Sus scrofa: one gene and its partners. The protein of the gene in region 6 purifies or fractionates together with the protein of the main gene of each other region. This does not show direct contact. Links are inferred from orthologs where the notes say so. Each region holds a gene or a part of one and is shown on either strand. Other genes may lie near its edges.

What was found.
Region 1: the proteins of FBXW11 (region 6) and AMER1 purify together in Homo sapiens (affinity purification with mass spectrometry; 7 studies listed by BioGRID and IntAct, counting the BioPlex papers as one, with this or other methods). This does not show direct contact. The link is inferred for Sus scrofa from reciprocal best matches to the Homo sapiens genes FBXW11 and AMER1.
Region 2: the proteins of FBXW11 (region 6) and STK3 purify together in Homo sapiens (affinity purification with mass spectrometry; 4 studies listed by BioGRID and IntAct, with this or other methods). This does not show direct contact. The link is inferred for Sus scrofa from reciprocal best matches to the Homo sapiens genes FBXW11 and STK3.
Region 3: the proteins of FBXW11 (region 6) and TUBGCP4 purify together in Homo sapiens (affinity purification with mass spectrometry; 3 studies listed by BioGRID and IntAct, counting the BioPlex papers as one, with this or other methods). This does not show direct contact. The link is inferred for Sus scrofa from reciprocal best matches to the Homo sapiens genes FBXW11 and TUBGCP4.
Region 4: the proteins of FBXW11 (region 6) and MYO10 purify together in Homo sapiens (affinity purification with mass spectrometry; 3 studies listed by BioGRID and IntAct, with this or other methods). This does not show direct contact. The link is inferred for Sus scrofa from reciprocal best matches to the Homo sapiens genes FBXW11 and MYO10.
Region 5: the proteins of FBXW11 (region 6) and STK4 purify together in Homo sapiens (affinity purification with mass spectrometry; 5 studies listed by BioGRID and IntAct, with this or other methods). This does not show direct contact. The link is inferred for Sus scrofa from reciprocal best matches to the Homo sapiens genes FBXW11 and STK4.
Region 7: the proteins of FBXW11 (region 6) and HIVEP1 purify together in Homo sapiens (affinity purification with mass spectrometry; 3 studies listed by BioGRID and IntAct, counting the BioPlex papers as one, with this or other methods). This does not show direct contact. The link is inferred for Sus scrofa from reciprocal best matches to the Homo sapiens genes FBXW11 and HIVEP1.

What each region holds. Positions count from the first base shown.
Region 1 is NC_010461.5:50,861,306-50,865,505, reverse strand, and holds the start of AMER1 (APC membrane recruitment protein 1), read left to right. Parts: upstream 1-1,400; 5' UTR 1,401-1,500; exon of another isoform or gene 1,501-1,882; intron 1,883-4,200. UniProt on the Homo sapiens protein: Regulator of the canonical Wnt signaling pathway.
Region 2 is NC_010446.5:38,010,540-38,014,601, forward strand, and holds the start of STK3 (serine/threonine-protein kinase 3), read left to right. Parts: upstream 1-1,262; 5' UTR 1,263-1,497; coding exon 1,498-1,523; intron 1,524-4,062. UniProt on the Homo sapiens protein: Stress-activated, pro-apoptotic kinase which, following caspase-cleavage, enters the nucleus and induces chromatin condensation followed by internucleosomal DNA fragmentation.
Region 3 is NC_010443.5:128,081,240-128,085,514, forward strand, and holds the start of TUBGCP4 (gamma-tubulin complex component 4), read right to left. Parts: upstream 2,801-4,275; 5' UTR 2,516-2,800; coding exon 2,438-2,515; intron 1-2,437. UniProt on the Homo sapiens protein: Component of the gamma-tubulin ring complex (gTuRC) which mediates microtubule nucleation.
Region 4 is NC_010458.4:6,142,686-6,146,924, forward strand, and holds the start of MYO10 (unconventional myosin-X), read right to left. Parts: upstream 2,801-4,239; 5' UTR 2,282-2,800; coding exon 2,261-2,281; intron 1-2,260. UniProt on the Homo sapiens protein: Myosins are actin-based motor molecules with ATPase activity. Unconventional myosins serve in intracellular movements. MYO10 binds to actin filaments and actin bundles and functions as a plus end-directed motor.
Region 5 is NC_010459.5:47,386,159-47,390,393, forward strand, and holds the start of STK4 (serine/threonine-protein kinase 4), read left to right. Parts: upstream 1-1,435; 5' UTR 1,436-1,544; coding exon 1,545-1,579; intron 1,580-4,235. UniProt on the Homo sapiens protein: Stress-activated, pro-apoptotic kinase which, following caspase-cleavage, enters the nucleus and induces chromatin condensation followed by internucleosomal DNA fragmentation.
Region 6 is NC_010458.4:52,302,901-52,306,400, reverse strand, and holds part of FBXW11 (F-box/WD repeat-containing protein 11), read right to left. Parts: intron 1,956-3,500; coding exon 1,769-1,955; intron 868-1,768; coding exon 777-867; intron 1-776.
Region 7 is NC_010449.5:8,514,708-8,518,655, forward strand, and holds the start of HIVEP1 (zinc finger protein 40), read left to right. Parts: upstream 1-1,148; 5' UTR 1,149-1,289; intron 1,290-3,948.

The DNA of each region.
Region 1 (4,200 bases), on a different chromosome or scaffold from region 6:
AGATTTGGAAACTGTCTTCTCCAAATTGTAATATTTTGTCTCCTTGTGGAGATGGGTTGATGCACTGGCCCAGAGTAAAACAGACTGGCCAAAGTCATACAGGAGGTCTGAGGCAGAGCTGGAGCCAGATCCCAGCCCTAGCAGCCATGTCTCTTCCTGTGTGCCACACATGCAAGGGGCAGTAGTCCTCCTCTTACCAGTTTTAGCAGCTGGATTTTTTTCAGTGCAGACGGGACCCAATCAAGCAACAGAGAACATTCCTCCTGCAATGCAAAAACGGCAGGCATTGTTCTCTAGCCCCCCCCCCCCCTTTAGACATCTACAGAATTTTAGGGCTGGGCCTTCTGGATATTCTTGAGCTAGTGGTAGAACTGGATTCTTTGTTGCCTCAGCTCACCTGGCCCGGCAGCCATTAATGCCATTTAATGCCCTTAAGCTAGAGACTCAAGTTCAAGCTGGCCCCCTGCCACATCCCAGACACATCAGTGGCACGGCTGGTACAGGCCTTCTCACTCCACCCTCAGACTTGATCTCTGGTCTGGGCCTAGACAAAATATTTCTCTCTATCCAGATTTTTTCAAGGACAGGAAACAGCACAGAGCATAGCTCACCACTAGGGAAGGTTGAGGGGGCCACTAGAGACTTTGGGGATCCCTTCAAGTTCTGTAAAAGGTGGGAGATTTGGGTGAGGGTCAATCACGGAAATAGGTATCTACAGAGAAGAAAAATGAAAGCAGCCTTGGACTGGGAGCCTGGGCAGAACTTCAATCTGTCCCTGTTGCGGGCAAGGCGAGTGACCTTGGGCAAGTACTTTTTCTTCTCTGGGCAGCAGCAGGCCCTTCAGTAACTGGAAGTTGAACTGGATGGTTTCTTAAGGTGCCCATGAGCCAAAGAGGTGGTGAAAGCTGGGAGGCGGGCACCACAATTGACTTTCCTGGCAGGTGAATTCCCCAGCGCGGCCAAGTAGCGCTTGCAGCAGGGCCCAGTCTCTACGCTCAAGGTTGGGCTCGGCAAGGGGCAGAAGGCCTCTCCAACCTCTCCACCCTCGCCCCTCCTTGCCCGCCTCTCTGGAATAAACTGCGTGGTTGCTGCCAGGGCAGCCAAATTGCAGGGCCGCCACGGAAATGGGACGCAAGCAAAATCGAAACCGAGCTCCAGGGCTCCCGCGAACCCCATCCGGGCGGGACCGGCCCCGCGAGCTTGAGGTGTGGCCAAGCAGCTAGCTACCCGCCCGTCGTTGGGGGGTGGGGGAGTGGGGAGTCCCAGCCAGGGGTTCTGCAGCCTCTCCGCCCCCTGCCTACACCACGCCCGCGCTTATTTGCATTTAAAGAGAAACTCACGGAGGAAAACAGTAGGCGAGTCGGGGAACGCCTTTTCACCTTAGGGATTGGACCACAAACCTGCCAATCAGGGCGCCCCATACCCTACCCTGTGGCTGAGTCCCGGGGAGGGGTGGGGGGGAACTCCCTGGAACCTGGGGAAGGGGAGGCAGTGCAGGAGGTGACTGGAACAGCGGCGGCGGTAGGGGAGGGGGAGGTGGAGGCGGAGGCGGCGGTGGCGGCGGCGGAGCTCTCAGCCGTGGCAGCTGAGGCTCCAGCCTTCTCCAGGGCGGCGCAGCAGACAATAACCGGGCTAGAAACCAGACCGGGCTGGGTAAGCTTTGCTCGCAGACAGTAGTCTCCGCCTGCCCGCCCTCCGGTGGCAGTCCCGCGTGCTCCGTTCTGGCAGCCTGGAGAGGAGCTCTCAGGGCTGGGCGGGTCGGCATTCGCACCGCTCTGCGCTGCCCCTTGAAACCCGCTTTGAGGACTGCCCGGTGTGGGCCAGTGCCAGGTACTCGGCGCGAGCGACTGCGGCTAGAGGCGGAGAAGAGGTGGGCAGGCCGGTGAGCTAGCTTGGGCTATGCATCTGGGCTCCTGGGGGAGGCGGGGATGGGGCCCGCACGTGCTACCCTTAGCTCCCTGGAGAGGAACAGCCAACCAGCACCCCCAGCGGGCATTTGTAGGCCTGGAGCTCAGCAGCTTTGTTGTAGCACCTTAGCTAGAACAGCTGTGTTACACGGGTGTTGCTCACCCCAGCGGCCGTCTGCCACCCCTCCCCTCCCCTGCGCATCTCCTGCCTCTCTTACTTCTCTGGGGACGGAGCCAACGTGCTGGTCTGGGCCCGACGGATAGGATACTTGCTTTGTCGTGGATTGGGGTATCTACATTGTGTGCCTCCTCCTTGGGGGAGCTCAGTTGGGCCTGTGGGCTTCTCACTTCCCTTCAGGACCTCGGCCTTGAGGGCCCAACCAGCCACTGGGTGCATCTGGTGCCCGCCCCGCTGGCAGCCCGGCTCTCGCTGGATCCTGGGTTAGGGCAGTAGCCCAAGCTAGTCCTTGGGTTAGAGCTTCAAGGCCTCTTTGTCTCCCCCCCCCGCCCCCGCCTTCTCTCTCCAGCTTCCGGTTTAAAAATAGCGATAAGCACGGTGTTGTGTATGTGCATGTGTGTGCGCGGGGGTGTTCTCTGCCAGAGGTCGAGGGAGCAATTACTGTAGTAGAGGGAACGAACCGTTTGGGTGTGTGTGAGAGAGCTAAAGAGGCAGCCAAAACCTCCAACTTCTTAGTTACTTAAAATACTTAGCCTGCTGGGCCGCTGTCATTGTCTGCTGCTGACACCTCAGATATTGTTTCACTGCCGGACTTTGCCTAGGCTCTCCGCTGATGAGGGGCTGTGCCCGCCAAGCGCGCCACTGCACAGGCGGCAGCTGGACTGACCCTGCAAAGCTGGCCTCGGTTTGGACAGGCTTGTTTTTGGTGTGGGCCGCGGGGTCAAGATGAGCCTTGTCCTCATACATTCACTATCCACTGTAGTTTTGCCTGCCAGTCGCATTGGTCTGGGCTAGGTGGAGGGTGCTGTGCTTTTGGACTCCAGGCCCCACCCCTGGGGATACCAGCACAACCCCTTCCCCCAGGGCAGCTCTCCTCATTCAGCCCCACCCACCGCTCAGTCTGCACCAAAGTGTGCCTCTGGCAATGGACTCTAGGCCTTTCTGAGGAACAGGAAGGAGGGAGCTACCCAGGGCTTGGAAGGCTCTTGTTGGACCTTTGAGCAACTTCTCAGGGTGGAGAACTCTGTGCACTGCAGGGCCCTGGCAAAGCCTAGGCACTTTTGAGAGGAGACAATGAAACCCAGTAAATCCCTCACTTAAGGAAAGGCTAGCTGGGGACCTTAGAGACACTAACCAGAATTGCAGATACTGCTGTATAGTCTCCTCCTCTCACTTTGACCAAGCACCAATATAATCCATCTATTTACAGCTGGATATCTCCAGCCCAGAGCTGGACCTGCCCTTTGCTTGCCTCAAACCCACAGTCACCTAACATGTCTGCCCTATATAACTCCCCTTCCCACACCCAAATCTACTTACCCTACACTCCAAATTCTCTTCCTTCTCAGTTCCCAGTTCTGTGCCCACCTCTTTAGTGCCTTTCCTGCCTATCTCCTGATGACTTCTTTTCTCAGAACTCATCCAGGCTATTTGCATCCTTGAGCAGTTTCAGGCTTAAGTTATAAAAGGGGACAAACTATAATTGTTTCCCTGCCTCTACTTTGTCTCCCTGATATCGTGCATGTCTGGGTTGTCTCAGTACCTCTCAGAGGAGCAAATGAAACCTGGATCTCTGTCACAGCCCTCTGAAACCCTAGCAATGCTTAGCAGTTAATGAATGCTCGGGAAGAACTTGCTGTCTTTATAGAGCTTTGGAAAAGACCTTTACTTCTGCAACTGGCATTTGTCCTGATTAATATGAAAGTGATTAGAAAAATGATACTCAAGGCTCAGATATTTATTGAGTATACTTAAGATTGAGAAGGAGGGTGGGTTGCATCTACAAAAAAAAAAAAATCATTACGTCTCCCTTCAACAATAACCTCAGGATCTGGACTTCACAGTCCTCAGACTGCACGCACATACCTTTGCTTGCTGATTCATGAGTCGAGAGGCAAACTATCATGGAGAGAAATGAGAGATATGTATATATGAGGCGATTGCCCTGGGAAGCCTCAAGAAATTTGAGGGGTTTAGTTAGGCAAAGGGTAGTGGTGTAAACAAAATTAGGAATGGGGAGGTGACTGGCAAGCAGGCTGAGTGAGGTGACTGAGTCTTTTCTGGTTGAGATTGTATGGCTCTAAGGTAGAAAGGAGGTTGGAGCCAGTGGTGGTG
Region 2 (4,062 bases), on a different chromosome or scaffold from region 6:
ACAGCAGAAATTGGCACAACATTGTAAATCAACTATAATTTAAAAAATGACCTAAACAAACAGGAAATGGCCTTAACAAACTTTAAGTTTAGGGGGAGAATAAAATGGTTTGAAAATAAATCATGTAATTTTATTACATAGAAAAAACTTAAAATAACGTAAAAGGAGGACTGTCTCCATACATAAGTATAATTTGGATTAATGTTCACAACATTCTCTTCATACCTTTTGTTTTAATCTTCATCGTGACAATTTCTGACAAAAACAAGCTAGGTCATTACATAGCACCATGTAAGGTCATAAGAAAGATACCTATAGGAGTTCCTGTTATGGCTCAGCAGTTAACGAAGCAGGCTTGTATCCATGAGGACACAGGTTTGATCCCTGACCTTGCTCAGTGGGTTAAGGATCTGGTGTTGCTGTGAGCTGTGGAGAAGGTCACAGATGTGCCTTGGATCCTGTGTTGCTGTGGCTGTGGTGTAGGCCAGCAGCTACACCTCTGATTCAACCCCTAGCCTGGCCATATGCTGTGGGTGAGGCCCTAAAAAAAAAAAAAAGAAAAGAAAAACAAAAAAACAAAAAACCCTCTATAGATGAAATTTAAGGTTAAATGGTACACACACAATATGGATGCATGAAGGAGTCAAATTACAAATGTCTTGGGGACAGGTGAGGGTGAGGGTGGCAAAAGGGAAGGAAAGAAACTCTTCTTGAGTACTTTTCTATGTACCATAATCTGTGACAGGTTTGCCAGCAGTGCACTGAATCCAGTGCATGAGAGATCTCACTGCAGTAATTATTTTCTTTGTAATTAGACATAATTATTGCGAGGAGTTTGTCCACAATTAAAATCAAACAAGAACTTCCAGAAGCACCCCTCGTAGTGGGGGATGGCTGGGGGAAAACATAACCAATAATTATAAAGAGAACTAGAGAGGGAAGTGTCGGCAGCTAGTACTTCAAAAGGCTGCTGAAGATGTTTGGGAGGTATTCTTGAGAAATCCAGTGAAATGAGTCAAATCTGATTGGGGCAAAAGCAATGAAGGCAAGTGAGGAGCGGCAGCTTTGGCCCACTTCAAAGGAATGCCCCAGGCCAGCAAGCAGAGGCTCTGGGACCCGACTAGGCCTCACCCTCTCCCCATTCCAATCCCAGCTCCTTTTCTCTCCTCCCCGCCCAGTGGCTGGCCCCTTGCCTCCGCCCCCGGCCCCGCCCACTGGCAGCCCTCCCCGGCGCCTGGCTCCGCCTACCACGCCTGGGCCGCGGCCGGCTCCGCCCACCCTCCCAGGACTGCGGCCCCCGGCGGAGGGGCGGGGCGGGCCGGGAGGAGCCGCTTTCGCAAGCGGGAGGGGGATCCGCCGCGGAGTTACGGGAAAGTTGGTCCGAGTTCCTGGAGTTTCCCTCTGTGGTTCCCTGGGCTCGGCTGGCCGGTTCCTCGGCTCCTTGCCCGACTCCGGCCTTCGCCGCCCACCTGGTCCCTCCTTCTGCCCCCGGCCGCCATGGAGCAGCCGCCGGCGCCCAAGAGGTAACGAACGCGGGGAGCAAGGAGAAGGAGGGAGGCGGTGCCGGCGGCCGCTGGGCGGGGGCCGCTAGGCCGGGCTGGATCGCGACCCCTTCCCTGACTGCCGGGCCGGGAGCCTGGAGTTCCGGGGGTCTCGAGGCCGGTCCGAGTGTAGGGCCGCGTCGGTCCGTGCGGCGAGGGGACCCTGAGGGAGGCCGAGTCTCGTTTCCCCTGCGGCCCGCCGGGCCTGGAGCGCGTGGAAAGTCGGTGGGCAGCGCCGGGCGCCCAGCGGCTGGACTCCTGGGGCGGGCAGAGTTTTCCCTCGTGGCAAGTTCACGAAGCTGGGGGACGTAAAACTAGGAAATTATTGGACTTCTTACTATAGGCTTTCTTGTCAAATGTTTTCCATAATATGCACCCCCCTTTTTTTGAGAAAGCGGGCTGTTTACTTACACTTCAAGGAATTAAATATTAATAGCTACAGTGTGTTAGCTACAGTGTCTGTAAAACTTATTGTAGATGTGCTGCACTGACAGGTGTTCCTCCCCCTTCCTCCACACGTTCAAAAGTATTTATGGATGCAAGACAGAAATCTTAAATTAGAACCCCACCCCCCATACAGGTTTGGTTTTTTTTGTTTGTTTTTTTTTAGCATGTAAAAACAGTGATGCTTTGATATTTACTGTTTATATTTATTCTTTGATATACTGGATGTGTAAGAGTACACAGTAGATACTTTTGAACTGATATTTGAAGTGCTCTTGGGAAGCTAAATCAAGGCTTTCCATAGATATTTATTCTCAGTGTGCGTCCCCACACCCAACAATGAATCAGTCCACTGATATTGGATAAAACATTTAAGTCTTTCATTTTTCATTTATAAAATAAGAGTATTAATCTCTCTCCCAGATGATGCTTTTGGTGAGGACTAGAGTGTTTTGATACCTAGAGAGTTTAAGTGAAAGGTGGTATATTCAAGAACATGAAATAATTAAAAAGATAGAAACTCTGTGAGCTGTTGTGAATTGTGTCACTGGACATGTGAGCCTTGAGGCTTGGAAACCATCTGTTCAGGTGCGAAAGGGGGGTTGTGGAGAAGTTTCCAAAAGAGACCTGCTGTCATGCAGAGCCCTTGATAGATTCTTTTCTGGCATTCTACAATATCCCAATTCTAATATTGATTGGGTACCCAGTTTTAATACTATAGAAGAAAACTGGATACAGTTTTTCCCCCATTTTGTTTCTGAATGGCTGTAAGGGGCACCTTGGCGATAGTACTTTAAGGCCAAGGTGAACAGCTCTGAATGGAAGTAGAAGCTCTGTATGGATTAGCTCTGCTCTAAGTTATCAGAGTTTCACTCTGGGTGTTGGAGAACCCCTGCCCCTGCAGGGACACGGGAGAGCCTGGAGGGGTGGGGGGAGGTGTGTGTAGTATATGTCAGCATTCCATGCTGACTTATACTTTTCAAAGTGGTGGTTACACATTTGAGCAACTTATTTTTAGCTCTTTTCAGAGAGACATGTTGATCCAGGAAAGCATTTTTAAAGAGCTAAAGATATGTGGCAATCCCATGTATTTGAATATCTCTTCATATTTTTTCATAACATTTTCTTTTTTGTAATATCATTTAATCTTTATAGCAGCCCTATAGAGTCGTTAGGATTACAGACATTAATCCTGTTTTATAGGCAAGAAACTAAGAGAGTTCGTCACGTAGAAGGCTATGGCAGGGATAACCGACAGTGAGGTTTTGTGTTTCCCCCTTAATCATTACCCTCTAATAATGAAATATAGCTGCCTTTTTTTGAGGTCTTACTATTTGCCAGGAATTTTATATATGCATTCTTTTTTTTTTTTTTTTTTTTGGCTGTGCCCTCCAGGCATATGGAAGTTCCTGGGCTAGGGATTGAACCTAAACCCCAGCAGTGACAGTGCTGAATCCTTAACTGCTAGGCCATCAGGGAATGCCTGTGTTTACATTTTTATACTTTATTGTCCCAAGAAATAGGAATCTTGGCTCTGTAGCTGACTATGCTAGGTCAGACTTAAATTTCTTCATCTGTAAAGTGTGATTTGAGGAGAAAAATGAGGTCATATGTAAAGCACTTAGCACAGTGATTCATAATATGTTAGTTATTTCTTTATATTTTCTTTATTAAATGAAGCCTGGAGAGATTAAATAACTTGATCAGGTGGAGAAGGTGCCAGAACCCTGGGCCTGATGGGCTCCAAGGGTTGTGCACCCTCTCATTATAGACAGTGATGCCTCTTTTTCAGAACTCTCTCTTGCTTTCTTAGCATTCCATGATGTGGTGGTCATCTCTTTCTATAATCTTCTGGTCCCTTTTGCTTGTTTTCTTCTTAATCCCTGTAAGAATGCCACTTTTATTTTCTGCCTTGAGTAGCACTTACTTAAGGTGCAGACATTTTTACATGGTCACATGTATGTTACTGATGATCAAGTCTGTGTGCTCAGTTAGTATTTTTGATTTTTTCATGTAGCTCCATTCTTTCATTATCCTATTTAGTTTGTCACTAGATCCTGTCAAATTTTTCATCAAA
Region 3 (4,275 bases), on a different chromosome or scaffold from region 6:
GCCACAGCCAAGCCAGATAGGACGTGAGTCTGTGACCTGCACTACAGCTCACAGCAACGCCAGATCCTCTACCCACTGAGCAAGGCCAGGGGTGGAACCCATGTCATCATGGATCCTAGTTGGGTTCATTACTGCTAAGCCACAATGGAAACTCCAAAATAACAGATTTTATAGTTGTTTAAGAGCAATATGCTTAAGTTTATACCTGGCTTAATGTGTTGATAAAACAATTTTTATCAACATTGCACATTCATGACAATTTCTCCCTTCATTCAAATGTGAAAAACACTGTTCTGCAAAAAGTATGAAATATTTGCTGTTTGGGGTGGTCTTTTTTTCACAAATATCTTCATACCTACTATGTGGCAGAAATTGTGCCAAGTGCTCCTGATATGAAAAAGACCACTATTTCTTTGCCCCCCTGGTCAGTCAATGTGAGAGAAAGACTATACAGCAATAAGTAATAACAATAAGTAATATGAACTGTGATGTCCTATAAGGGAAATAAACAAGTTACTGTGATAGAAAATAGGAAACAACCTAAATGTCCATCAACAGATGAATGGATTAAGAAAATGTGGTATATATACACAACAGAATACTGCTCAGCCATAAACAAGAACAACATAATGCCATTTGCAGCAACATGGATGGAACTGGAGACTCTCACACTAAGTGAAGTCAGAAAGAGAAAGGCAAATGCCATATGATATCACTTAGATATGGAATCTAATATATGGCACAAATGAATATTTCTACAGAAAAGAAACTCATGGACTTGGAGAACAGACTTGTGGCTGCCAAGGGGGTGGGGGAGGGAGTGGGATGGACTGGGAGTCTGGAGTTAATAGATGCCAACTATTGCATTTGGAATGCATAAGCAATGAGATCCTGCTGTACAGAACAGGGAACTGTATCCATGATGGAGCATGATGGAGGATAATGTGAGAAAAAGAATGTATATATATATATATATGTGTGTGACTGGGTCACTTTGCTGTATAGTAGAAATTGACAGAACACTATAAACCAACTCTAATGGAAAAAATAAAAACCGTTAAAAAAAAACAAAATAATGGCATAAGGAATATTCTTAAAGAGGTGGTCTGAGAAAATTTTTCTGAGAAGGTGAAATTCTCTCTTTAAATCTGAGAATTTAGGAAAATATCCAATTGAGACATTTTAAATAAGAAAAAAAGGCTGTTATTGTTCCCATAGTGTGTTCTCTCTTTCTACTTCAATCAAGCACACATACATGCTTCCTGAATATTCTTCTCCTATATGCCTTGTCCTAGTTTTGTAGTAAAAAATAAATAACAACAAAAGGAATCTGATTAATTTATGTTTTATAGACCAAGAGAGTAATATTCCTGCTTCTTTACAGCCTATACTACCAATTCTTATAGACACAGGCATGACTTTGTATACAGATAGATTCAAATCCTGCCTTATCAAGACTAGCCACCATAGGAAGTTACCTTACAGTCCAGCAGGTTAAGGATCCGACCTTACGGCAACTGTAAAGCAGGTGGCAACTGTGGCATGGGCTTCATCTCTAGCCCAGGAACTTCCACACGCAGCAGATGAGGTGTGTGCAGCAAAACAAACAAAAAACCCAAAAACTACAAGCCACCATAAAGTTCTCTGAGCTTCAAGTTGCTCATTTGTAAACTGGGGCTAACAATACCTAACTTGCTATGTTGTTGAGATGATTAGATAATACTACTGGAAGCATAAGTAGAAAAGAAGAGTGGTTCAGATACTGGAGCCAGACAGATCTGGGTTCAAGACCAAGTTTGCTAATTATTAACTGCCTAATACCTGACACCAGAGTTAATCTGTGAAACGGAGATAGGTGGTTGTGAAGTTAAATGAGATAATACATGTAGTACATGGCCCCTCCTTCTCATACATTCCTGGTTACATGAAGGCCTCCCTCCAAATTCTTCTGGAGAAGAAATTTCCTGGTCAAGGAGTAGAGGGAAACACCCTCATTCACTTTTTCATTCAAAATAATTGACTGAAGTCGTATTCTGTGTTAGATACTACGTATTTGGACAAATTTTCAAAACAGCTTAAAACAGAGTGCAAGTGTGAAGATGGGAGAAAGCATCTCCCTCATTTTTACATCCAGTTCCCCAGCAACTCTCATTCAGATAGTTCATCCTTAGGCTCAGCCCTGGATTCCCTCCTCTTCCCCAAGGCAGGGCCTTTCAGGAGTCTGCCCTCCTTTTCCCAGCGTAGCCCAAACCTCTCAAGGTGTTTACACCGTGGTAGGCCCCTCCGGCACAGCCCTCCAGCTACCTGCTCAAGGACACGCCCCCCCGCCCCCGCCTCAGCTCTGCAAGCCACGCCCCCTAAGGCTCCTCCCCCACGCAGTGGCTCAGGTCCACCCATTCCCTGCTCGCTAGTTCCCGCGCTCTGAGCCGGATTGTACCTGGAGGCCACCCCGCTTGTTCCACGTGAAAATGGACCCTGGGTATCCGCTCAGCGCCAAGAGCAGTTCGTGGATCATTTCCACGGCGGACCTCCGGTCCCTATATCCGTTGCACCTTTCTCCAGAGCCTCACCAGGCGACCAAGGAAACGCGTATTCCTTTCTCTACTCGCGCACAGGCCTCCTGGACGGGCGGTTCCTCCAGACTTTATCCGCTGAGAGAACTGCTGCGGAGAGCGTACGGGAAGCAGGGAAGGGATAGGCGAGCCGCGTCCCGGAAGTGCACTGTGCTCGGTTGGGCCCACTCGCTCGCTCCCGCCGGGGCTCCGCGAGAGGTGTCTAAGCAGCTGCCCTTGCGCATGCGTCTGTGGCGCCCTAGTCGCCTGCTCTCACTTCCGGTTTGGGAACTGGACTGGGAGGCTTGAGAGTCCCGGCTGGAGCCAGACCTCGAGTGGGTGAGGCTGGCCCACGGGCAGAGATGCGAGCGGATTGAGGGGTATCCCGAGTGGGAGAAGCTCCTAGGGGTGGGCCAGAGGGTGCTCTCAGGGCGCCTTAGCCCCGGTCCGAAGCCTCTGGAGGGACTCCTTACCGCTCCGAGAGTGACCTGGCCAGAAAGCGAAGACAAAGAGGCCGGAACCCCGCACCCGCCGCTCCTTGAGCTGTGCTCCGCACTCGCGAATACCGCAGCCCTCGGAGCGCTTGGCCAGCACTCGAGCTCGTCTTCAGGAGACACATGACTACTGCCCCCTCGGACTCCCTCTTTCCACCAACTCAGTGTGACTCTCCCCAAGTCCACCTGGCCCTCGCTTCAGAAGTCAAAACCAACTTCTCTCAATGCTCGAGATTTCCCGTCAGTAGTTCCCGGATATTTACTGAGCGATTACTTCTGCTGTGAGGGAAAACAAAGACCCAGTGTTGTGTACTTGATTTTTGTTTGGGGTAGAAATTGGTGGTGGTGGAGTCTGAGGGGGCGGGGCGGACGTAGAGGGTTTGGGGAAGGACGGCGGAAGTATTGGGGCAGATCAGAGGCGACCCGCTGGACAGAGGGTTTTCTATTGCCTTCCTCGGGGTGGTGACATGCCTTTAAAACCTCTCAGCTCTAGGTCTCCCTTACGGTTTGAACTCACTATGCAGCACTGGCCAGGGGAGCTCAATGGGTCAGACTTGGGGAGGGGTGGAAGAGGAGCAGTCAGTAGTTTATTCTCTGCTGCTTCCCCGGGGCTGCCCTGGAAGTCGCCCAGAAATGCAGCTTTTGAATGGTCTCTCACCTTCATGCTCAGTTTTGGCTTGCTGCCCTGAAGTTGGTGCTACCTCACATGGCCACGCAGAACTTAGGGGAAGTCAGGCCAGCTCTGGCAAGACTTTAGACATATGAGTGTATTCCTTCTGATAGTGCCATCTCTCTCTACCCTAGGAGGAAATTCTTCTTACAGAGAGAGACTCATCTGCAGGTGATTCTTCAAGGACATGGAAGATAGGTGTAAACCCTGGAACCTAGACCCTTAAATGGAGGAAAGCCGCTTTCTGCTGTGAATGATGGCCAAACCCACCCTGAGAGGGACTGGCACTAACTCTGAGACCTTCCGACAGCGCTTCAGGAGATTTCATTACCAGGAGGTAGCTGGGCCCCGGGAGGCTTTCAGCCAACTGTGGCAACTTTGCTGTCGGTGGCTAAGACCGGAGGTGCGCACCAAGGAGCAGATTGTAGAGTTGTTGGTGCTAGAGCAGTTCCTGACCATCTTACCTGGGGAGATCCAGAATTGGGTACAAAAGCAATGTCCAGAAAGTGGAGAGGAGGCAGTGGCTCTGGTGGAAGATTTAGAAAGAGAGCCTGGAAGA
Region 4 (4,239 bases), about 46 Mb from region 6:
CTGTTTCTGCTCCAACGGGACAATTTAACAAAAGTATGCTCTGTTAGAAGACACCAAAGAGAGACCTGATCTATGTTAAGAGTCTGTCTCCAATCAATACAGCACCTACAGCCTCCTTGGCCCTGGTGGCTTCCCTTTCAAAGTAATGTTTAGAGGAGGAACTCGGATTAGAAATTAATACTGACTAGAAAGAAATAAACCAAAAATTAATTTCTGATTAGAAATTAACACTGTAATACAAATACATCACAAAATTAATAACATAAAAGATTAAATACATAAAAATTTCCCTCAATACTGAAGTCACTAGAGGAAAAAGCCCGTGGGTTCCATAACAACCTCTTCAACCTTAGGCAAGTGACTTAACATCTTTGAGTTAAAGATTCTTCATCTAGGAAGGGAAGGGAATGGAAATGATTGCTGAAGGCCAACTTCAAGACCATATTAATCATGGAAATAAAAATCCAACCACTAGGTTTCCTTACTGAGAAAAAGTACTTCAAAGTGCAACAGGACGATTGGAGGGCAGGAGATTGCAGCTGTCCCACGTTATCCTGCAGTTCCTCCCACTTGCACTAGGGGGCAGAGTTCTTCCAAAGGGGAGGTCATTGGTTCCCTGAGGCCCACAGACAGGCTTCCTGGGGACTAGGACCCCAATAAATCCAATACAAATTCTATGTCTCATCAAATTTCCTAAGGAACTCACAAAACAAAAGCAAAATAAAGGGCCCCCTCCACTGCCAAAAAAGTTAAGAGTTAGTGTCCTGCAGGCAAGAGCCTCAGGTTTTCTTACAGATGAAAGCAATTAAACACAGCCCACTGGTCTTTCATCAGTGGTTAACCTGCAACTCCTGCAAAAAGTTCTGGTGCCTTCTTACAAGCAGGAAAACAAAGGTCTATGGATTAGAAAATGCTAGAGTCTCATAATTGTAAATTTCACTTTTTTTAAAAAAGTAAAAAAATTGTATTAATGAATGATTCATTCCTTTCCAGTCTCCACCTCTCACCATGAATGTGGGTATAACACTGAGACACCACTTTTTTTTTAAAAAAAAAAAAGGGATATTACTATCATGCAAGAACATTTCACTTAGGCCATTGTAAACAGTTGTTAGATTATTTATAATCAGTGGGCATCCAGAAAGTACAATCACTTGAAATAATGTATCTAATTAAACTGATAAAGTTAGCCAAAAGAGATGCAAACCTTCACCAATCTAATATTCTGGAAGATTCCAAAACTGTCCTTGATTTACAAAACATCCCCTGGCTTTCAGTGAAAGTCACATCAGGCTCCTTAAGTCAACTAAGTTTACTTTGAGCCACTTCAAACCTCAAACTTAAATAGAATTTATTAAATAAACACAACCAAGAAAGGAAAGGGAGCCAAGAAACTACAGTAACTCTCGGTCCTGGGGGGGAAAAAAAGGAGGTTCTCAAGACAGAGATTTCAAGTAACTGTGGTGTCCCGCCCTCCATGACCCTAAAAGGAACATCAGTTTAATCTTTAAAAATAACCAATGTTCGCTCTAAACGCTTTTCTTTACATTCGAATTTAAAATCTACAAAAACAGTCCGCACAAATTCCTACTCTTTTTGTCTCCCTGTCCGGAATGATCTCAGATCCTAAAAAGAGCACTTCTTGGTGAGCATTAGAACCTAGACTCCAAAGGTCCGACAGGCAGAAAACACAGTGAATGATTAAACCCTCGCCTCCCCCTTCTCACACTTCATTAAGCCGTCTCCACTGGAAGTGTTTGCACCCCTCTCACAGGAAGCCGGCACGTTTTGCAAAGGAAATACCAAACCAGACCCTTTCTTGGAGAAAGGCACGTCCCCGATGAATATTTTATTGGGCACCCTGGAAGTGGGGCATGCAGACCTCCCGGCCAGGCCCCTCGTCCGCCGCCTCACCTAGCGCCGGGCGCCGTTGGGACACCCGGGGAGCCGGCCACTCCTGCAAAAGGACGCTCACCTTCGCTCACCGGAGCCAAGTTGAGAGCACGGGACAAAATAAAACCTGCCTCGGCTTACTCAGCCGGAGACTCCCCGGGGGTTGATTTCTGACGACTCCCAAAAAGTTTCGCCCTCTCGGGTTTAGCGCGCGCGGTAGCAAGTGTGCGCGCTGCGCCGCGGGCACATCCCTCCCTCCCCGGAGGCCAGGTCTGGGCAGGAAGGGAGCCCGCGCCCGGCTCCCGGAACGCAGCCCGAGCTGGGCCAGGACGCCGGCGTCCGCCCTCCCGGCCGCTAGCGCACTCACCTCGGGAAAGAAGTTGTCCATTGTTCCCGTGCGCTCCCCAACTTGCCCGAGTCCGGCTTCCAGCTCGAGGAAGTCAGCCCAACAGAAGGTCCGGGGAAACCATGCGTGTCACGGCGCGATTCCCAGCAACTTGACCCCGCGGAGCTCCCCCACTGCCATCGCTTTTTCCCCTTATTGTCTTTCGCACCTTTTGTTTGCCCAAACCCAAGTCTCTAACTCATTCGTCCCAACTGCAGCCTTTGTCTCTTTCTCCAAGTTCCTCACTCCTGGGCGCTGCGCTAGCAAGCGGAGAACAGCTGGTGGCACATTCTTCCCCCGCGGCTGGGGGAGGGTGGCGGGGAGCTGGGGAGCGCGCCCCCTCCCTCTGCCCTCCGGCGGGAGGCGCTCGGGGCGGGCAGGGGAACAGCGGCCACAAAGCGAGCCCGGAGTTGCTCTCCCCGCGCGAGCACTGCAGCGGTGAATATTCGGGCGCCAGGGCTCAACCGGCTCACAGCCGCACGGAGACTTGCGGACAGGAGCGCACGGCCAGCCCCGCCCGCTCGTCCGGCCCCGCCCACTCGCTCCCCTCGCCCCGCCCCACCGAGCGCTGAGCCCCGCCCACCCTGCCCGGTCTGCCACGCCACGCCACGCCCCTGCAGGAGCCCACTCCTCCCCGCGCTTCCGCAGGGTTCTGCCCCACCCGGCGGCGCACCCCGCCCCCATCTTCTCCGGGTCCCCTCCCACCCTGCTCCTCCGGCTGCCTCAGGCTCCGAGGCGGGCGGGGAAGGCGGGGCCTGATAGGCTCCCCTTACATCCCCGCCCTTCCGCCTCCCAGCCTCCCCACCTAGTTGAGGGCGGGGGAGTTGACTCTTCCTTCTGGTGATAGAGACCAAATAGTCACCGAGGAGGAGGGGTTGGGGGACTTTTTTGTGTGCCTTTGATCTTTGGCAGACCCTGGAACCGGCTAAGCACGGATCTCATTAATGCGTCGGCAGATGAGCGACCCAGGCAATGGAAGCGTGGTCCGCGAAGCTGCCCTGGCTGTTGGGCCAAATCAAAGCGGAGAACCGAGGCTAATCAGAATTTCTGGAAGCTGCCTTCCCGTGTGGAGTTTCTCTCCTGCTGTTAGGTTAAAAGACTTTTTCATTGGAGCCAGAAAATGTAGTTTTGTAAATTGGAAGAGGACGTGGCCAATTGCACCCTAAAAATGTAACCCTTTCCTGGACCTAAAGGAAGCAGATAGCCAAACGGAAGGGAGATGAATGAAGGCTCAACCCTTCCCCCCGCCCCGGTACTGAGTGTTAGTTTCCTCTAGGGCAGGTCCTCAAACTTTAGAGTGCACAGGAATCACCTGCGAATCTTGTTGAGCTGCAGGTCGGAATTCTGTGGGGTGAGAATCCATAAGCTGCATTTTCAGCAGGCTTTCAGGTGCTTTCGGACACCCAACCTTGTACTGTTTTGCAAACTGTTTGGAACCTGTCTGTAATGAGGGGAGAAATTGAGAGCAAAGGTTTAGACACTTTTGTAGCAATTTCAAAATGCCGCTGATATACAAGCACGTGATCGGTGAACGCTTTGAACCGAGTGCAAACCATTTTGGGTATTGTCAGACTCGTAGTAAGTCATACCTGGCACTCCAGGGTTGTCCTATGGGTACTTGACAGATTGGGGAGGGGAAAAACAAACAAACAAACAAAAAAACAAAAACACGGCTGGTTCTTCACCACAAATGGTTTGAGAAGCTCTCTCTAGGGGATTTGCCAACTGCTACTCATCCTTTAAAACTCAAGTCGAAAAGTCACATCTTCAAGGGGAAGCTTGCCCAGAGATGCCCAGCCATTCATCATAATTCCAGCTCCACCTAACCACTGGGTGTGGCTTATTCCTAAGGCTACTGGAGAAACTATGGCGTATTGAGGTAAACCTACATCATGTCCAGGGGTTTTTATTGGTGTCCTACTCATCTTCAGTTGGCAGAGTCAAAGCTCAAGAGAGGAAAC
Region 5 (4,235 bases), on a different chromosome or scaffold from region 6:
GAGCAAGGCCAGGGATCGAACCAACAACCTCATGGTTCCTAGTCGGATTCGTTAACCACTGAGCCATGACGGGAACTCCTTATTATTTTTTTAAATTTATGTTTAGCTTTTTTTTTCCCCTCCTTTTTAGGGCTGCACCTGCAGCATATGGAAGTTCCTGGGCTAGGTGCTGAATCGGAGCTGCAGCTGCTGGCCTATGCCACAGCCACAGCAGCGCCAGATCCAAGCCAAGCTTGCACCAATGCTGGATCCTTAATCCACTGTGTGAGGCCAGGGATAGAACCTGCATCTGCATGGATACTAGTCAGGTTCTTAGCAGCTGAGCCACAATGGGAACTGCTGTTACTCCATTTTTAGCATATGGAGTCCATACCTGGGTCGCCCTGAGAGGTTGCTCAGGTGTTGTTCTGAAGATGCTTTGAGAAAAACAGGACAATTAAAAATGGTGAGAGGTTGCTTTGGGTAAATTTTCTCCGGTAACGTTATGAGTGAATTGGGCGGAATCTTCCTTTTTCTTAATATTCACTGATGGTGGTGGCAACCGAGGATTTATGAATTTCTATAACTGGAACTGGAGCTCTGAGGGGACAGGAAGCTCTGAATCTCATGCCCAACCAAGGGTCCACAGTGACTGTCTAGTTTGATGGTGCAGGCTCTGGAATCAGGTCTATCTGGATATAACTCCCCAAACCTATACTTTTAGCTATTTGAGCTTCACCTCTCTGGCCTCACGAGAACAACAAAAGTATGCACCTTACAGCCTTAAGAGTATTAAATGAATTAGCATTAGTAGGGCATGAAAACGTGGTAATGGTAAGAGTGTCAAAAAATTAGCAGAGAAGATTGGGGTTAACGTTACAGGCTTGATATGAGGATTAAATGAAACAACACTTGAAAGCCAGTACATGGTAAGAGTTTAAAAAATAATAGCTATTTTTTATGTACACAGGTGAGGCTGTCAAGAGGGTGGAGCAATTTTCAGGCTGATGCTCTGTTACATCCACGAAGCGGTTTCGCACGTTCGAGCTTCCACCTGGAACAGGAATTCAATTAGTTCAGACCTGTAGAGTACCATAAATACCTCTGGGAGTCCCTGGAGCAGTGCTTCCCAGGAATCGCGCAGAACTTGGCTGGTTAAGAATCGACAGTTGTTATCAAGTATGTTGCTTCGCAAGAAACCTCAGTATCTCCGTCTGAGATATGAGAGGCGCGGCCCGAGGCAGCGATGGGTTCCAGGTCTGGGGGACCAAGTGTCTCGGGCTAACACCACCGCAAGAAACAACGCCGCCGAGACTCCAGTCTGCCTGACGACGTGCCCCAAGGCTGTCTCCGAGCCTCCTCGTTCCGCCCCAGCGTGCCACGTGACTCGAGTCCGCACCACGTGATCCAGGCCCGGCCCTCGCGGCCCCGCCCCTCCCCTGAGCAGCTCGCCGCTTCCGGTAGGGGCGGAAAGCGGAAGTGTGGGAGGGTCTGCGGGGCGGGCTCGGAGAAGTCCCGGGGGAGGATGGAGCACTGAGCGGGTCTGGGCGGCTGCCGGCAGCGCCATGGAGACGGTGCAGCTGAGGAACCCGCCGCGCCGGTGAGAGGCCGCTCGCTGGTCAAGAGGAAGGGGGGCGGGGAGGGAAAGGCGGGAACCGGCCGGAGGGGTGATGGGTGTGTGAGCCCGTGGAGCAGATGGACCTGCGGGGCCAGGCGACCGGGCTGATGGGGCACCTGCTGAATGGGCGACCCCTGGCCGGCGGGGGTCTGGACGAGGGGGGATAAACATGGGGCTGGTTAGAGATCACTTGTTTTTGGAGGGACAGCCTGGCAGGAGGGGAGCGACAGCCGGGGGGAGCAACTGCTGAGGAACGTGGGGACAAGTTAGGGAAAGCACCTGCTGAAGGCGGGGGTTGCCGCTGGGTGAGGGCTACTATACCAGAAGGGACTCATTGAGGTAGAGAGGATGCTGAAGCTGGGTGAGAACCAACGAGGGGGGATCTGTCTAAGGGATGGATCAGGAACAAGGAGAGAGAAGGGTTGGGTAGACTTTCTAAGGGACCGAGTCCCGCCCAACGGGTGCAGTGGGGAGGATCTGCTGAGGAGAAAAGCTGTGCGCCTGAGACTGAAGATGTGCCAAGAAAGGTTGAGAATGGGTGCCAAGCAAGGGTGGCTTCATGGAGGACAGCATTAGGAAGATGTTTTTGGTAGTGTCTCCACTCTAAGATAATGACACCTTTCCTTCCTGATGTCCAAGGTCTTCCTAATTTTCTTTACATCTGACACTGGGAGGTAGATAGGGAAGTAAGAGACAATTTTCTTTTTCTTTTTTTCCCTCAAGTATAGTTGGTTTACAACGTTGTGAGACTATTTTCAAGATGGGCAAACTGAGGCCCAGAAGAGTTGAGACACAGTCCTGTATGTTTCCTTCTTTGCTCTTGATCTGGGTCACTGGACCCGGCCAGACTTGCCTTTTTCAGATCTCTCTTGTTTTGCGTCGGTTCCAAAGGCTGCTGCTGCCTGGAGTTGTTTTACAACAAAATGGGGGGGGAGGGGGTAGCCTATCCTAGAAAGTCTCACCTCCTGAGGGGTTGCATTTGTGTCAATGATTTATTCAGTGGATGCCAGAGTCTTAAAGCACTCTGCCACATCTGGAGAAGAATCGAGAGTAGAGATTGAGGTGCCGTGCAGTTTGCCTCTGTTTCGCAGAGACCTCTGACTTCCTGCAGTAGAATGAGCTCTAAAGTAGGAAGTGTTCAGTGTGTGGGAGTATGGGGCAAAGGAGAGGTGAAAGGAAGGGATTGACAGCCGGGGCTGCGCCCATGGGTTTGTTTGAAGTGTACAAACAGTGCAGAAGGCAAATAGCTGGTTGGGATGGATTCATAATTCATCATATAGCGTGCTGAGTCTGACATTGAACTCACAGCACTTACTGGGTGCTAGACACTGTTCTTAGTGCTCTCCATGTCTCCTGTTGAACCGTATGAATTTGCTGATATTTGGCCATTTTGATGTGTAAAAATAGTGGTTTCATATGGTTCAACCTGTTATTGGCTCATTTGACCCTCACAACAATCCTATCACCTGTATCTCTGTATTTTACAGGTGATGCAACTGAGCCCAGAGAGGCTAGTGATTGGACAGGAGTTTCTCAGTTACTAAGTGACAGATCTGGGATTTTAATCCGAGCAGTCTGGTCTAAAGTCCATGCTGTTAGCTGCCTCACTCTGATGCCTCTCTGGAAGTACCCCTGTTTCACAAAGCCTTGTATACGTTAGCAGATATTTGCTCTAGTGCCATAGATCCAGTGATAAATGGACATGGTTATATTTCTTCCTGAATGTTCATTCTTTCTCCAAGGCCCTGGTTTAATTGAGAAGAGAATCGGGAATCTGAGTTTAGTTTTTACTTTGGTCTTATGTTGTGTAATCTTGGGCAAAAGAGTAAACCGTTTTGGTTTTCGACAGGCTCATTCCTAGACCTTTTAAATATTTCATTAAGTGTGCAAGAGAAAAGTATTGCAGGGCTGAATGACTGGTGCTTTCTGCTCATCATAACTAGTGAACTGCCTAATTTGCAGCCAATTAACTTTATTAGCATCTTATTAGTTTCTTAGGACTGCCTTGTCAGTTTCACAGACTGGGTGACTTAAATAACTGGGAAATTTATTTTCTCACAGATCTGGAGACTAGATCAAGGGGTCAGCAGGGTTGTTTCTTTTGAGGCCTCTCTCCTTGGCTTGCAGATGGCTTTCTCCTTCCTCTGTCTTCACATAATCTTCCCTCTGTACCTGGCTGTGGCCTCATCTCCTGTTCTAAGGACACCCATCATGTTGGATTAGCGCCTATGCATATGACCTCATCTTTACCTTAATTACCTCTTTAAGGGCCCTATCTCTAAATCAGGTTCTAAGGTATTGGGGGTTAGGACTAACATGAATTTGAGGGGATCAGTGGGGGGGGGCACATCGATTTTATTATCATTTAAAAACTTCCTTTATATTATAAAATGTTTGTCATAACCCATAAAAATTATATGCGGAAAGAAGGGTAAGCATACATAAGTAAAATGGCCCTTATAAGAGTTCTAGGATGGGAGAAAGAGGTTAGCCAAACCTGTAACTACTTCTTATTGGTGTTTGAAAAGATGTGGGTCTCTTTTCGGAGATTCAGATGGCATGTGTTTGCAACAAGGGAAAGCAATCCCAATGCAGGAAGTGCTCTTTGTGTTCAGGAGTTTGACACTTGTGTGTGACT
Region 6 (3,500 bases):
ACTTCACATTTGGGAAACTGAGTGTAACTTTATAGGTGATACAGCATTGCCTAGCAAAGGCTGAACTTTTTTGCCAAGGAGGAAAGAGTGAAGTAACTAAGACCTGCCAAGAACACATGTGAGAGAGTTAATGAGAAATGCCTGTGCATGTCTTTCCTGGTTCAAGCAAGAGGGCTAAACAATAAAACTAAACTAATTAGAACACAAGAACAGTATCAAACATCTCCAATGTTTCTCATCAAGTTCACAGAGTTTACTGGTCTAGGGAAGTTACACTCGAATCTGAAATGGTCCAGGAGCGTAATCTGCTCTAGAAAAGTCACTTAAGTATTGTTTAGAATCATATCTGCGTCATTTTAATGAAAAATTATGGGAAATCTACCGAGGAAACTGAGACTGTGCCTTCTCTAGATCTCTACTGATGGCTCAAAAATGTAAAATGATGCTTCGCTGAAAAACTAGGGCTTGGATTTTGGAAATTTTATCAAATAAGAATAAAAAGTCAATTTCTGATTAAGGTTTTAATTAACTGGCGGCCTTGCAGAAGCGTTTCATGTTTTTAAAAAGTCAGATCATTTTCTACAAAAAAAGCCTTTTCTACTTTAAAAAATAGCTACAGATTACACATTGTGACATATTTGCTCCAAGACTTCAACTTAAAAAAATTTTTTTTCACTAATGCTATGATTTCAGATCAACAGAACACTCTAAGGCAACATTAAAAAGTTGAGAACAAAACACAAAGAGCCCATAAAACAGATAAATCATAAAGTTACCTCTATATCCTGGATAATCTTTGGGTATAATGACCTATAAAATGAATTGGGAGGGCCATCTGTGGGTCTGTTTTTAAACAGGTACTGATCCCTGGCAAATAAAAACAAACAGATGTTACATTTTTGCACATAAAAGGCTGAATTTATTGAAATGTGGTGCTTACAAAGATGTATCTTTCGAGTCTTTTGACTTGCACTGAGCTTTAACAGTTCAAAAGCAGGATGTGTGACAATTAAATGTTCATGTTAGACAGACGTTTACTTCCGCTTACACTTAACATGATCCTAATCTTTCATTTTCTTAATACTCAACACAATAACCTCGCCTTTCCCTCTATAGTTTAACAAAAAGCATTAATGCAGCTTTGAGAAAAATCGAAGTTAGTACACACCAAACTTCTTCCCATAAGGAAAGACAACACAGCCCTAACCATCACTCACCCCACTAGCTACCTGCAACGCTCTCTTTGTCCGCGCTGGCTGCGCGCGGTCCCTGACAGGTATGGAGCTACGGAGCTAGGAGCTACGAAACGAAGCTGTACATCAGATAAGGTTGCCTCGGAAAAATCCCACCCGCTCTACCTCCCGTCTTCAACCAAGGGCAATACATCTAACAGCAAAACTGCATTATTTGATTTTCTCGTGTTTTCTCGTTCTCATCTATCTTTTGGTAATGGTAGCGGCACCTCAGGAAAAGGTGAAAGGAGAAGCATATTCACATAGCTTTGAAAAGCCCAATCACTCATTCAAATTATCCAATACTTTCTAACGGATATAGAGGAAATAGAACCTATCTATCCTAACTGATATAGAGGAAATACGCATTTCAGAAGGGGTTATTTTAACAACTTTAACTTTCTGCCCCTGACTCCTGACCACTCATCTCTTCCCATTTGCTTTAAGATAGGCCAACACATTTGGTAAGTATAACTGCTTTTTTTTTAGTAATCAGAGAACCTTTTTTCGCGAGAATATATAATCCAAATACTTACCACCCTCTTCTTTCTGAAAGTCCCTTCCATAGAGGGTCAGTGCGCACCATTCGTTCGATCAGCTTCTTCCACAGCATGCCTTCGGAGATCACTCGCTGCCATTCTTTACACACCAGCTCTGCTGCACACAGAGACCTGGCATCCAGGTAGGAAAGAATGTTTTCTGCTATGTGATCTAAGCCTTGCTCTACAAAACAGAAAGGGCAGTGAAGGAATGGGAAGGGAGATGCAAATGTAGTACCAGTGACCGTTTCCTTAAAGGTAAGAGGCATAAAGAAATCCTGAACTGGGAGATGTGCTTGAGTAAGATCAAAAGTTCTGCAGATACACAAGTGCATGAGTACATACACACACACACACACTTCTTTTGGGTTCTGGTTTTTTAAGACGAAACAACTGACGGCAACAGTTCCTATGTGGAAGTCAATCCTGGACCATTCTATGTTTGTCAGATATTATAACAAAAGATTTCTTTTCTTTCTTTCTTTCTTTTTTTTTAATTACATAACTCTATGGGGTAATGACAGCCCAAATGTAACAGATGAGGCAGAGAGGCAAAAGGTGTCAAGGTCTTGTAACTATAAGTGAAGCCGAGACTAGAATTCTAATCTTTTGCTGCACAAGTTTGTGTTCTTTCCCTTCTGATTTACTAGATCATCCTATTAATCCTGACCTAGTGAATTGCTTCGAGTTAAAGAGACAAAAAGGTAAAACGCGGACGCATCTGAAAAAGCTTATGAAAAATTAAACGACAATCCAAGAATTAAGTTAGGTGTACTCTGATTTTTGCCAATCATTTCTCCATCTTCTCACAGAGGTAAAATCCTCAAAACATGAACCGCGTGCCTAAAAATTCGAACCTTAAGAGGTTTACCCTACACAATGCACGTATCCTCTCAAAGACAACCACTATCCAGCCTTTGCCTGACATGTGCCCGTCACAAAGGTGACGAGGTAAAGAAGATCCCTGTGGTCAACAGAGCGGCTGCCCGCAAACGCCCATCCTGTGGGTTCTAGGCATCTCCTCTGCAGCTACAAGAAACAGAGGTCATCCCCAGGCCTTCTCTGTGGAGGAGTGGGAACACCAAACACATAGCTAGAAAATTCCAGTTTCAGGTCTAGGTTCACCATGCAGCAGTTCTATAGCACGAAACAAATATTTAAACAATTACTGAAACGTCCCTGCCTCTTGTTTTTTTTACCACATAAAATGGTAGGCACTATCTGCAAAAATCCATAAGGTTCTATGAAAAGATTTTAAAGACAACAAAGTACCATTCAAGGTTAACATGTGTTCTCTTTTAAGATAAACGGAAGCAGGAGAGTACTAACTTGACAGGTCTCGGTAAATCGTTAAACTCGCAGAGCCTGAGATTCCTCATCTGCATAAAATGGGGACAACATTCTCTGCCGTTATTGTGAAAATATCAAACTGAGATGATGCATAAAACATGCTTCCCAAACCAAGATTTCTTTCATCCCTAAGATGACTATTTACACTGTTGCTTATGGTTTACAGGCGCCTCACACACTAACTCTCCGACTCTGCTCTGGGTCTAACACCCAGGTTGTGATGTGATAATGAAGATTACAACTACCCTGAGGCCACTATCTCTTCTTGCACGTGTCACTACATCGCAGTTAATGCAGTCAAAGATTACACTGCCTTCATCTAAGAGGCGTTACCGCAGCAGACTCCCAAGATGGCCGTGGCTGAATTAAAACCTTAGAC
Region 7 (3,948 bases), on a different chromosome or scaffold from region 6:
TCCTTTTTCACATTTACTTTGACTTTCTGTCCTAGCCAGAAAAACCATCACACGCACGGTTCACTTGCTCTCACCTTCAAGCCACTTCCCTTGCCTGGAATGCTGTTCTCATACAATTGCCAAATCCTGAACTTTTTCTCCCTCAAAATCCTGCTGAGAACTCACCGTGGGGATGGATGGAACTTTCTGTGATAATCCTGCCCTCCACCCAATCCAGAAAGCTCTCAGCAATCACGTAAATAACTGTGTATAACTTTAATTGGCTCTGTTTATAAGCCTCCTCTTGTATCTTTTTCCCTCTAGGTATTTTTCCACGTGTTTATTCTGTCTCCATTAATTTGTAAACTCCCAGAGGGCAAGGCCTGAACACAGGTTGGTGTTGGCATAAAATGGATGAACAGTTAGGACCGAATGGCAGCCTCTGCAGTGTTTCTTGATTACGAATCTGACAGTAAAGAAAAGAAATCCTTTTGTTAGTGCTTTGTTTGTGATGGTCCTGAGACTGCTAATCTAATGTAAAAATATATCCGGTTTCTGCTAGTGTCCAGTTAAGGAAGATAAAATCAACAGTTACAAGCTTTCCATAATGGGAGGGGGAGGGTGCGGGAGAGCCTGACCTGTACCAATGGTACATGAAAGGCATGTGATTATGTGAGTTTATTTTCTTCAGTGGTATCTTGTCTTTTCAAGGCTGCAGGTCTATCTTAGAAGAGAAATAATATTTACTTTCAAAACCGAAATCTAAAAACCAAACAAAGCCTCAGAAAACATACAATACCACCCTGTTCTAAGTTTGTGCTGAGTGGAGGGAAAATGAATCTAATTGAGAAGGCTTCTTTTTTTGTGTGTCTAACAGAAAATGCCACAGGGTCCAGCTCTCCAGGATTTCTGGATAGGTGGATTGTTCATTTCAGCCCAGATAACAAAGGGAAGCAGGGCAAACGCTCTTCTCACCGCGGGAGTAAGAAGTGGGAATCCTTCCCCGTGACCACCTGCTTCTCTCTCTTCAAACTAGCAAATAAACTGCCAAATAGCTGTGTATCGTTCTCGGCGCAGAGCCCACGGTATAAACCCAACGTAGGCGGTGCACTAGATAACATCAAAGCCCCAGGCAGGGGCCAGAAAAGGGGGGGGGGCAAAAGCAGCCGAGGGAATGAAGCGCCTCCCCCTAGCATTTCCTCTCACGCCCACTTCCAACCTAGGAGGCTTTTGGTTTCTGCTTTTGTTGTTTTTAAAATTAAAAGTTAAACGCAGGAAGCTTTGGATCAGACTTTTGCGTGGCAGTTCGGGTAAGTTTTCTCTCGGTCGGCTCTTTTGTCTGGCGTCTGGCCGGGGAAGAGCCTGGGCGTGGGGCAGAGCTGGCAGAGCGTGCGGGGCAGGTTTTGTCGCCGGGTCGCCCGAGGAGGAGGGGATTCGGCCGGTGGACGGGGAAGCCCAGCGCGCGCGGAGGGCGGAGGGCGGAGGGGAGGGACGGGCGGCGGCGTGACCCGGAGGCCAGCGGGGAGGAACCTCCGGGATCTCCGCGTGGCGCTGGCGCAGCCGGGCCGGGCGCAGGGCGGAGGGCCGGGGCCGCGGGGCCGCGCCAGGGGGGAGCCCGAGCCGGGCCGGCCGGGCGGCCGCGTGGGAACCGGGGCAGGGGGGCGAGAGGGCAGCGGCGGTGGCGCGGCGCCCGGCGGACGCGGCGGGCCAGCGGGGTCCCCCGACGAACCCCGGCGGAGGACTTGTGTTCTCCCCACACTGTTCTGCCAGACAAATGTGGGACTGCCCTCAGCTGAACCCCACTCCGCAAGGGGGGCTCCGAGAGCGCTCGCACCTCCAGGAGGGGCGCAGCTGGAGGGAAGTGGGGCCCGAGAGGAGCCCCCTCCTTTTTTTTTTTTTTTTTTCCGGAGTATGGTCACCTCCCCCATTGTGCCAGAATTACCATTCCCATTTATCTTTTGATTCAAAAAAAAAAAAAAAAAGGTGTTTCTCCACATTCCGTTTATAGGATACAGTTTGAGAAATTGTATTTAATTTGCCACCAAATAATTAAGCCGAAACTAGCTACTTTATAGTTGAGTTGGATTCCCCTGCATTCTGATAACTAGGGAGTCAGGGCTGTAGGAGGAATTAGGAAAAGAAATTGCATTTAGAAAATTCGGAGTGGGAAACTGTTCGGTATTGTATATGCTTCAAAAAATTAATATTAATTTAATGCTCCAGAAAGTGAAATTGTGAATAGAATATAAGAAAAGAGTCCTATAGCAAATTAAAATGACGACATTAATCTATTACAACTCCAGATTGCATGTTTAATTTGTTAGAAAGTTCCCAGCAATGCCAAATTCCATTTAAACCTTGTGTTCACGCTAAATATTTGTTATGGTCAACAACTATTGGGTTAAAAATATGGTAATTTTGACTTAGCAGGTGACACAAAGTAGAATCAATATTCGTCTTTATCCTCTGAGAAATTAGGTATACTTTCGCACTTAAAGAGATGTTTGTGTTTCTTTTAACACAAACTGCGAAGTGTACGTACTTTTTATAGTTGCCATTTAATTTCATAAAAGAGGTGATTTTATGACATCGAAAATTTAAAGAGTGCATTATTTCATGGCAATGTTGGAAGCATAGTTTGCCAAACATTATTGCAAATTTAGGCAGTTGTTGGCTGCTCTTTGCTCTTATGGCCAAATCCAGTTTTTGATGGGCATATTCCCCCCTTTACATGACATTATTTTTGGTTACAAGCTCGCTTTTATTGAGTATTCCATTTTTAATCATTGGCATACTGGTGCAGTTAAGCTTTTCTTAGCTCAAATGAGCTAGAGGTAGGATTTCCTCAGGGGAATTTTAGGGGTCAACCCTAGCAGGAAAAACCTAGATGTCTTTATGGAAGCCCCGAGGAACAAAACAATTCAAGTTTGCACAGATGGTCGGCAGAGTGGGTGTACGGTCGTTTAGCATTTTTATTCCTTAAAAGGGTAAAGCAGTTTGGGTTTATCTGAGAATTTTTTCTGCATCAAATTTTTGTTTCACCTTATTCCTCTCGAGTTTAGCGCGGCTCCTTAAACCAAGTATCTGTGCCTGCTTCCTTAGGGGTCCATGTGGGATTTCTGAGCCCCACATTTCTGTTCTTTTGGTCTAACCCCGAAAACTTGCAACAGTACCCTGGTCCAGCCCCTCCCAATTTCTTTTCCATCGGTTTCCAACTCCTTGCTTCCTCTATTGCTTTCTAGCAGCCGGGGTCAAACTCTGGGTTATGGTAACTACTCCCTCTTCCCCCTTTCTCTCCTCCCTAGCCTCCCCGGGGCCAGGTCGGCTGCCTAGCCCTGCAACCCCTTTCCTGACCCCAGAGACCCCTCTCCTCCCTGCCCCAAGCTGTCAGGCGGACAGGCAGGGGTTAACCGCGCTCGCAGCTCCGGCTCTGGGAACCACCAGCAGGCATTGGAGCGGCCTCTGGAATAACCTTGGCTTTCCTCAATCTTTTAATAGAACATCCGCCACCAAAAAGTGGTTTCAGTTCAGGGTTAATGATATGTCCCCTTCCACCCGTCAACCCGACACCCCGCCCCCCTCTCGGTTTTTTATAAAGTTGTTTTTCAAAGTTAATGAGTTTCAAGTTTCACAATGACTTTCGCCTTCCCTCCACGCGTTGCTGAGGAAACCCCCTTGGGGTCCCCCCCACACCCTCCCCCGCCCGCCCTTCTCCCGTCCCCTCCCCCTTTCGGCCCGGGCGGGGGGCGGGGCTGGGAGACCCCATGACGTCACCGTGCCGGCCCACATCCTGCTTCAGAAAGTAAAGAGACGGTAAAGAGAAACTACCGCCCCGCCCGTCCCCGCCCCTCTTCCCGGACTAACCGCCCCCAACTGCGCGACCCGGCCAGGCCTTCCCCCGGCCGCGTGACCGGCGGGCCCGCCCCTCCGCCCCCGCCAGGCGCCAGTCCCTGAGCCGGCGCGACCCTG